Macaca fascicularis: one gene and its partner. The protein of the gene in region 1 purifies or fractionates together with the protein of each later gene. This does not show direct contact. Links are inferred from orthologs where the notes say so. Each region holds a gene or a part of one and is shown in the gene's direction. Other genes may lie near its edges. The genes, in order: MACROH2A1 and EZH2.

Region 1 (4,395 bases):
GCACTTGCTATTCCTCATGCTTGGGGCAGTTCTTCCCCAGACATCCACATGGCTTGCTCCCTCAATTTCTTCAGGCCTTTGCTTTAAATGTTACATTCTCAGAGAGGCCTTCTCTTATATTTGAGCCTCACTCTTATCTCACACTTCCTATTCCCCTTCTCCGCCTTATTTTGCTCCACCGCATGGAGACCCTCTGACACATTCTCCCGTTTGTCTTTCCTTCCCCCACTAGAATGCAAACCCCAGGAGGGCAGAGACTTCTGCCTGTTCTCTTGGCTGTTTCATATCCAGCACCCAAATTGCTGCATGACATAAAATACGTTCTCAGTACTTAATTGAATTAACGAATGCATGAATGGCAGGTATTGGACATTGTTTTGCAAACTCTTACAGTAACGAGTAAAGCATTCCGGTGAGGTGGAGGTTACTGCCGCTGCGATTCCCGCGCAGCCTGAGGACTGGGGTTGGGGGTGGGGTCTCTAATTACCTGCATAATCCCCAGTGGCGGCACTTTAAACTTCACATCAACCCTGAGGGATGTGTATTATTACCCAAATTTAGTTCACAGCTGGATGGAGAAGTGGCTTCCCGCTCCACACTTTGGAGGGAGGGGAGTAGAGGGAAGGCCCCCATTTAAGTACCCGGGATGGGGCACCAATGCCTTCAGGCGATAAACCAATTTAGGAAGACGTAGAGGGCTTTGTGGCGGGCCCTCCTCTTTCGGCCTGTCCGCAGTTTTTAAAAAACGCGTGTGATGATAAGGAATCACTGTTTATATTAGTAATTCCCAACTTGGGTCTGAAAGTGAACTTTTGCTGAAGCCAAGTAGCTAACCGCTTCCACGTGCAAGGCAGGATCCAGCCTTGGGGTGAGGGGATTAGCTGAAGGACCCCAGGGGAGCCGGGTGCGCAGTAATTGACCTTGGGGCAGACAAGGGCTTGGGGGTGGCCTGTATCTAAAGACAGCGAGGCCTCTGAGGCGGGGGGTGGGGGAGTTGGCATTGGCTAGGGAGGGAAGAGCGATCGCTGGTAACAGCCATTGTGCCTTCCCACTGGGTTAGTGAGAAGGTTCCTAAGGATGCCGTGGCGACGACAGTCCCGTGCTCAGAGCCAGGCACACAGTAGGCGCTCACTCGAGATGCAGAGGCTGGGACGCGCCCTGGAGAAGCGCCTCTCCGGCGGTCCTGGCCCTTCCCAAGGACTGGGTTCTGGGCGACGCCGGGGTCACGGGTCGGACCTCGTGTCCGGGGCGCGGGCTGGTCCCTGGGCGCAGAGCGGCCGGCGTCAGCTGGCAGGGCGCGGGCCCGGGGTCAAGGCCGGGGCGCTAGGCGGCGCGGGCGCGGAGGCCGTACGCTCGGGGCAGCGAAGGGATGTGACGAGCGGCGCGCTGTGCATTGTGGGAAGCCGGCCGCGAGGACTGGTTCCAGTTCACTCGGCAGCGGCGCCGGGCGGAGGGGGAGAGCGCGGGCCGCGCGGGCGGGAAGCAAAGAGGCGGGCGGGCCAGCGAGGAGCGCGGAGAGAAAAGGCGCGAGCGGCCAGGAGGGCTCAGGCCGAGACATCTTTCAGCTGCCGCCGCCGCCGCCACCGAGCCGCCGCGTAAGTGCCGCGCGGGCCCCTTGCCGCACTCCCTGTCTCCGCCGCTCGGGTCCGGCCGCGGGTGCCGGGGAGCGGCCCGGCCTGGCGCGCACCGGTGTGGTGCTCGGCCGGGCTCGGGCCGCCGGGTTCGGTGTGGCCCACGCCGGGTCCTCGCGCGTGCACTACGCCCTCCCAGGCCCTGTCGGGCCGCGCGGGATTCCCTTTGGTTTTGTTCAAGAAACAAACCCGGAAACCAACTTCTCTTCGAAATGCATCCCCTGCCCGCTCCTGTGCGCTTTTGTGGGAAAAAGGCAGTGCTGGCGCCTCCCCTGGTGACCCTTCCTGGGGCGGGCTCACCGGCCAGGCCTGAGGCCGCAGGAGGCCCCGCGGCGCTGGCTGGGCAGCCTGGGCCTGGGCGCCCGGGAGCTGCTGTGAGCGGAGTTGTACTTGGTGAGGCCCCCGCCGGCCCGCGAGTTGCCGGCCCCGGCACAATAAGTCGGGCCTGAGCCCCGGGGGACCGAGGTGTAGGCGTCTGGCTCGCTATCTGCAGGGAGGGGAGAGCGGGGCTACTCGCGGGACTGAAGCCGGGCTGGAGCTGGGAACCGGGTCGGGGAGTGGTCCAAGGGTGGGCTGGAGAGGGGCCACGGGAACCCCCGCTGCTCCCGATTGTCTTGGTATCAACCTTTTGTTTGCTTTGTGGTAGGAAGGGTTTGCTTTTTTTTTTTTTTTAAAGGTAACTCCGGAAGGCTGTGGGCTTCCCCGGGTGGAGAAGGCCAGCAGGAAAGAGCCTCGCTGGGGGTGGGGTGGAGTGGGGAGGTGAGTGCGCAGGATGCTGCTGGCAGTGTCACCTGACAACAGGTGTGCGACATGGCGCTCCCCACCCCCACTCCTGCAGGGGCCACAGATCACTCAAGCAGCTGGTCAGTACATTGCTTGAAAGGTTCTTTTAGACAAGATGTTAGGGGAAATGTTTCTGAGTTTCAAAGTGAGAGACTTCTGTACAAACAACTGATACAAACCTTGAATTCAACAATTACAGTGACTATAAAGGCCTTGTAAGATTTTAATGACCCAGTAAACAGCACGTAAGAATAGACAATTAGAGGGGGCACTTCCCTCTTTTCTTCCACCTTTGTGGTTTGAGGTTTTACCGTTTAAGTGGGGGGTGAGGGAAGTGCTTTGTTCCAAAGCTCCCTGCTCCGGAGAGTCGGCATTTTTTAACAGTCTTAGGTTTGAATGGGAGACTCCGAGTTGTAAATTAGGTGGAATTCACCTACTGCAGGCCACCTTTAGGCTACTAGCCTGCTGTCAGAGGTGTTAACTCTGAAATGGACACCTCACGCCTGCAACTGAAATTAATATCCCTTGTACACATTTAACTAGAGTTGGGCAGCAGCATCTCAGTCTTGCACAAGAGACTCTCCGATGAGGATGAGTATGTTTTTAAACTTATTTTTTCTTAAACACAACAACAAAACTCTTGAAAGACTTCAAATTCTTCCCCCTTCTAGTTTTACAAGGAGAAATAAATCTTTCCAGTCTGTTCTTTGGTTTTGATCTGTTACCATTGTCAATGCTGATCCCTAGATGAGGCCTTAAGAGGGTTGTGTCAATGAAAATTGTTTGAGGCAGGCCTTTAGAAGGAGGCACAATTTAACTCACATTTTATTAAACTTTGAGGATTTTCTGGAACTTCACATGTGACATTCTAATATACAACCATGCCACTGTTTTAGTTTTTACCAAATGGGCCAGTGTCAGGGAGTGGCACGTCTCCATCTGCTGTTTCTTCTGGTCCCTGAGAGAGGAGAACTTGAGGAACGTTTCGCATTCCTTCCCCATTGAGAACCTCAGAGTGCATGTGTTCTGGGACCTGCCTTCAGAGCTAATGCGGCCCCAAGTCACCTAAAGGAGATTTATTTAAATAAAAGCATAAACTGAAAACCTCAAGCTGAAGAACCCAACAAGACTCTATTTGTGGTGTTCATCAGAATTGCAACAGCCTCTGGTTCTTATTCGAGTGTCCCCAAGGATTTGTGACAGGCTTTTCAGAGCCCCACTGCTAGAACATGGGCTGGGAAGGGGCAGGAGTGAGTGGGGCCCACATCTGTGGGTCCTTCCCACATTCTGTAGGTTTAGAGTTATGTTGGGCCCTGCCTCAGCACTTACAAGTGAGCCTGAGTGAGTCAACTCTTCATTCCAAAGAGTTGTATAGCTTGTTTGCTTGGACCAAACCTGTCAGGTCAGTGTCTCAGAGTCTTTCCATAAAGATTTCCTGAGAATCAGCTCCTGTTCAGGCACTGGGGACACAGCTGTGATTAAGAAATGCCTAGCCCCTACCCTGGGGGAGCTGACATTGGGAGAAGGCAGGCAAGTAGCTGTTGTAAAGTCAGTGCAGAAGGCCCCAAGTAGCCCCCGGCAGGGGCAGTAACCTAGCCAGGAGTGAGCCCTTATCTGGCACGGAAAGGTCAAGTTGGTTGGGCAAAGGAGGGCAGATGGGGACAGGTGTTTGAGGCCTAGGGAACCACATGTGTGCATCTTAGAAGAAAAGAACAGAGGTTATGTGGGGAACTGCCAGAGGCTTGGGATGGCTGAGTCCTGGTGCGTAGTCAGGTGAGGCTTCAGGGAGGGACAAACAGGACAAATCACAAAGGATTCTGGTCAGACCCACACTTTATCCTAAAAGCAACGGAAAGGTTCTGAGCAGGAGAGAGACAGGATCAGGTGTTCTTTTTATTCTTATTGGGAACACGTCTACTCAAAAAATAATGAGTGGATTCTACGTACTAAGCCTCATCAGAGTCCTGTTCTCTGAAGCCCA
Region 2 (4,406 bases), on another chromosome or scaffold:
GAGATGGGGTCTTGCTATGTTGCCCAGGCTGGTCTTGGAGCTTCCCACCTTGACTTCCGAAAGTGCTGGGATTACAGGTGTGAACCACTAAGCCTGGCCTGGAACATCTTGATCCATCCATCCCTTGATTCTAAACGTCTAACAATTTATATGACATTTCACACCATGTTGCATATATTTATATACTGCTTTGATTTGCTTTATGGTAGTCTCTAATTTCATTGATCTTCCTCTTAAAAAATGTCGTTTTACTATTTAATATTATAGGACTGATAAGTTCAGTAATTTGATAAGCAACTTAGGGATAAGTAGTTAATTTCTGAGGTTTAAGTTGCTGGTTTTAAAAAATTGCAAACTGCTGGCCTAGATAGATGCATTTTATCTTGGAAAATGAATGTATTGGTGACTGTAAGTAATGACAGCTATAATTCGTTACGTTATTTTACAGTCACATCTCAGTTGCATAACTTACTTTTTGCAGTCTTATCATTGATTCACAAGATAATTTTGCTTTTATCTGAGCACATGATTGCTTGTTTCTCCTTATCTTTTAGCTTCCCTTCATATATACTTTCCAACATTGGCGTGGTTCAGAATATATGTGAGGAATGGAATGGTGATTTAGGAAAGGCGGGAAAATTATGGGCTAAATCACCTGATGAAAAATTATGGCCCGGCGCGGTGGCTCACGCCTGTAATCCCAGCACTTTGGGAGGCTGAGACGCGTGGATCACAAGGTCAGGAAATCGAGACCACCCTGGCTAACATGGTGAAACCCCGTCTCTACTAAAAACACAAAAAATTAGCCGGGCGTGGTGGCGGGCACCTGTGGTCCCAGCTACCCTGGGAGGCTGAGGCAGAATGGTGTGAACCCGGGAGGCGGAACTTGCAGTGAGCCGAGATGGCGCTGCTGCACTCCAGCCTGGGCGACAGTGTGAGACCATCTCAAAAAAAAAAAAAAAAAAAAGAAAAATAAAAATTAAAATTCTAGCTAGTTATTAAAATCATTAAAAAGATTTCTTCAGATTTTTACCCCAACATCATAGGTGGCCTTTTTTCAGTGTCCAGTCTGAACTATCAATATGGAATCTCAGTTTACAGGACAATGGTATTTTACCCCATAGGTACATCCTAGTAAAAATAAATTCGGGATACTCTTAACTGCATTGTCACATGAAGCAATAGGAGAGATTGTATCCTAAGCAGAAGCCCCCTAATTCCTGAGTTGAGGCAGGTTGACCCCCCCATAACTAAGATCATTGTTTAATCACTAAAAAATATTGCAAATATCCTTACACTTTGCAGAGGCGGCAAGTGAACAGCGCTCATCTTAATAAACGATTTTTAACACTGACACTTGCTTGGCACTACAAACACTGGAAGGGTCTGAAATGGCAGTAATGTCACCCTTTCACAGGTTTCTAGGGCGATAAGCACTGCGAGCTCAGCCAAAGTCCAGCGGTGGAGGCGGGGGGCGGGGGGCGGGGCGGGAAGTGGCCGAGGCAGCAGCAGGCAACATCAACGGGACCCGGGCCGGGCGCTGTGGCTCACGCCTGTAATCCCAGCACTTCGGGAGGCCGAGGCGGGCGGATCACCTGCAGTCGGGAGTTCGAGACCAGCCTGACCAACACGGAGAAACCCCGTCTCTACTAAAAATACAAAATTGCCGGGCGTAGTGGCGCATGCTTGTAATCCCCGCTACCCGGGAGGCTGAGGCAGGAGAATCTCTTGAACACGGAAGGCGGAGGTGGCGGTGAGTTGAGATCGCGCCATTGCACTCCAGCCTGGGCAACAAGAGCGAAACTCCGTCTCAGAGGGAAAAAAAAAAAAAGAAGTAACGGGGCCGGCGGCAGCGCGCGGGCCGGGCGAGCGTCTCCCCGCAAAGGCCGCGCCGCAGCAGAGCCGACCTCCGGGGCCCGTGCCCTCCCCTCCCTGGGCACCGCCAGGAGAGGCCAGCTCGGGCCTCGGCACCGCGCGCGGGGAAACGAGCGCGGCGGTTAAAACCGTTACCACCCCCGAGTTTTGAACTGGTTCAAACTTGGCTTCCAGTCCCCGCCTCGCCCCTCCCCTCCCCTCCCCTCCCCCGCCCGGGAACTCCGCGGCGCCGGTTCCCGCCAAGAGCAGCCGGCGCGTCGTCCCGCCCTTCGGCCCGTTCCCGCCACCCATCCTCCCCGCCTCCCGTTCGCGGTGGGCTCCGGGCCCCCGCGATGTCTCCCGGTCCCCGCCTGCCTGCACACCGCCTTCCTGAGAGGCGCCGTGTGTTCAGCGAAAGAACAAAGAGACGGCGGCAGCGCTTCCACAAGGCCAGTCGCGTCGCTTCAAGCGAGCCCCGCCACCGCCCGCGCGCGCACGCGCCACCACCGCCCGCCCGCGAGCCCTGAGCGCACTCTGCGTGGGGCTGGCTCGGCGCCTCCGAGCCCGGCGGGCCCTGTGATTGGACGGGCGCCCGCCTAGCGTCCCGCCAATCGGGGCGGTGCTTGATTGGGTTGGGGGGGCCAAATAAAAGCGATGGCGATTGGACTGCCGCGTTTGGCGCTCGGTCCGGTCGCGTCCGACACCCGGTGGGACACAGAAGGCAGTGGAGCCCCGGCGGCGGCGGCGGCGGCGGCGGCGCGCGGGGGCGACGCGCGGGAACAGCGCGAGCCGGCGCGCGGGACGAAGGTAACGCGCCGCTGCGGGCGGCCCGGCCGGTGGGGCTCCAGGAGTGCGAAGCGGGCGGCGGCGGCGGCGGCAGGACCTCCCCGCCGCTGCTGTGCCGGTCCCGGGTATCGCCTAAACGGGGCTCACCCGGGCGCCGCGTTTGTAGGCGTGCGGGGGGTGGAGGGTGAGGGGAGACCCCCCTCCCCGGAAGGAGCTGTGAGCTTAGGGCTGGCCAGCGGGAGCCTACGAGTGGGGCAGCGCGGACCCCCGGAGCTGCGGGGCGGGGGGCGTGTGGGGGGCAGCTTTCCCGGTGCCTGCCCTGGCCGGGGCGCCGGGGCCGGGGTCGGGGCGTTCCGGTGCCCGGTCCAGGGTGGCAGCTCGAGCCTCAAGTCTCCTTTGTGTGGCGCGGCCGCGGCGGGAGCGCCCGGGTGGGACGGGACAGACACAAGTTGGTGGGACCCAGCCGCCGAGTCTGCACTCAGACAAAGGACGGACTGTGTCTCCGGAGGTCTCGGCGCGAGGGGAAGGGGCATGACACCCGGGCCCGCCGGCGGGCGGGAGAGGGGCGTGGGGAGGCGCGGGCCGCTGCCGGGGTGGGCAGGGCTCGGCCCCAGCCCCGCGCACGCCCCCATCCCGGGCGCGCTGACCCCGGGCTGGGGCCGCGGCGACCGCGGGACGACGTTCGCGGCGTGGAACTCGGAGTAGCTTCGCCTCTGACGTTTCCCCAGGACGCACCCCGAAATCCCCCTGAGCTCCGGCGGTCGCGGGCTGCCTCGCCGCCTGGTCTGGCTTTATGCTAAGTTTGAGGGAAGAGTCGAGCTGTTCTGCTCTCTATTGATTGTGTTTTTGGAGGGCTTCCTGTTGAATTCCCACTTCATTGTGTACATCCCCTTCCACTGCCCCCAAAAATCTGTGCCACAGGGTTACTTTTTGAAAGCGGGAGGAATCGAGAAGCACGATCTTTTGGAAAACTTGGTGAACGCCTAGTGAGTTCCCACTTTCTAAAGAATCGTAATCCTTAAACATTACAAGCTGTTTTGGCCAACTTGTGTGATACATCTGAGAATGGCGACAGGTGCTAACGAAATCAACTGTCATTCAGCCAGAGATTATTTCCCAAATCCCGACGGGTTGAATGAGGATGAGGTGGTAGAAGTAGGTGATCAAAATAGAATGGCTATGACAAATGTGTGTTTAGATTCTATGGTTAGCAGTTTCTTAGTAATTGGTCTCGTTTTCTGTGAACAATAGCTTTGGTGATTCAGAAAAGACTGGATGCAGAAATGTTTGTTGCCTAAGAAATTTAACGTGTGCTGTCCACAGTTAAACTTCCTTTGTTTATCACACAGTATCTGTAACATTTAAATTCATTTGGAAATAAAAATGTATCTTTGATGTTTACTTAAAGGCTTGCTTTTTAGGGTTCAAGGAAGTTATTAGCTTAATTTTGTGGAGTTTTGATGTCACCATAAAACAGCATTTAATAAACCTTTGAAAAACACGAATGTAGTCACGGTTGAATGTAGTCAATACTTTTAGGGGTTTTGGAGTTTATTTTCTATTACTCTTCATAAGCATTAGCAACTAATTCATATTTAAGAATACGGATCAAGTGTGTAATCCTAACTTGTTTATTTGTAAATTTTATTTGCAAGAAAACAGAAGTATTTAAGATATATTTTAATGTTCTATTCATGGTCTCTAAAGTTAGGAATAGGTAGGATTCTAGTCATAGATATAAAGCATGTTGTTCTCTCTTTTTGGAG

Evidence for each region.
Region 2: the proteins of MACROH2A1 (region 1) and EZH2 purify together in Homo sapiens (affinity purification with mass spectrometry; 3 studies listed by BioGRID and IntAct, with this or other methods). This does not show direct contact. The link is inferred for Macaca fascicularis from reciprocal best matches to the Homo sapiens genes MACROH2A1 and EZH2.

The regions. Positions count from the first base shown.
Region 1 is NC_088380.1:141,934,158-141,938,552, reverse strand, and holds the start of MACROH2A1 (core histone macro-H2A.1), read left to right. Parts: upstream 1-1,418; 5' UTR 1,419-1,595; intron 1,596-4,395. UniProt on the Homo sapiens protein: Variant histone H2A which replaces conventional H2A in a subset of nucleosomes where it represses transcription. Nucleosomes wrap and compact DNA into chromatin, limiting DNA accessibility to the cellular machineries which require DNA as a template.
Region 2 is NC_088377.1:190,536,762-190,541,167, reverse strand, and holds the start of EZH2 (histone-lysine N-methyltransferase EZH2), read left to right. Parts: upstream 1-1,476; 5' UTR 1,477-1,682; coding exon 1,683-1,753; intron 1,754-2,229; exon of another isoform or gene 2,230-2,362; intron 2,363-2,525; exon of another isoform or gene 2,526-2,661; intron 2,662-4,406. UniProt on the Homo sapiens protein: Polycomb group (PcG) protein. Catalytic subunit of the PRC2/EED-EZH2 complex, which methylates 'Lys-9' (H3K9me) and 'Lys-27' (H3K27me) of histone H3, leading to transcriptional repression of the affected target gene.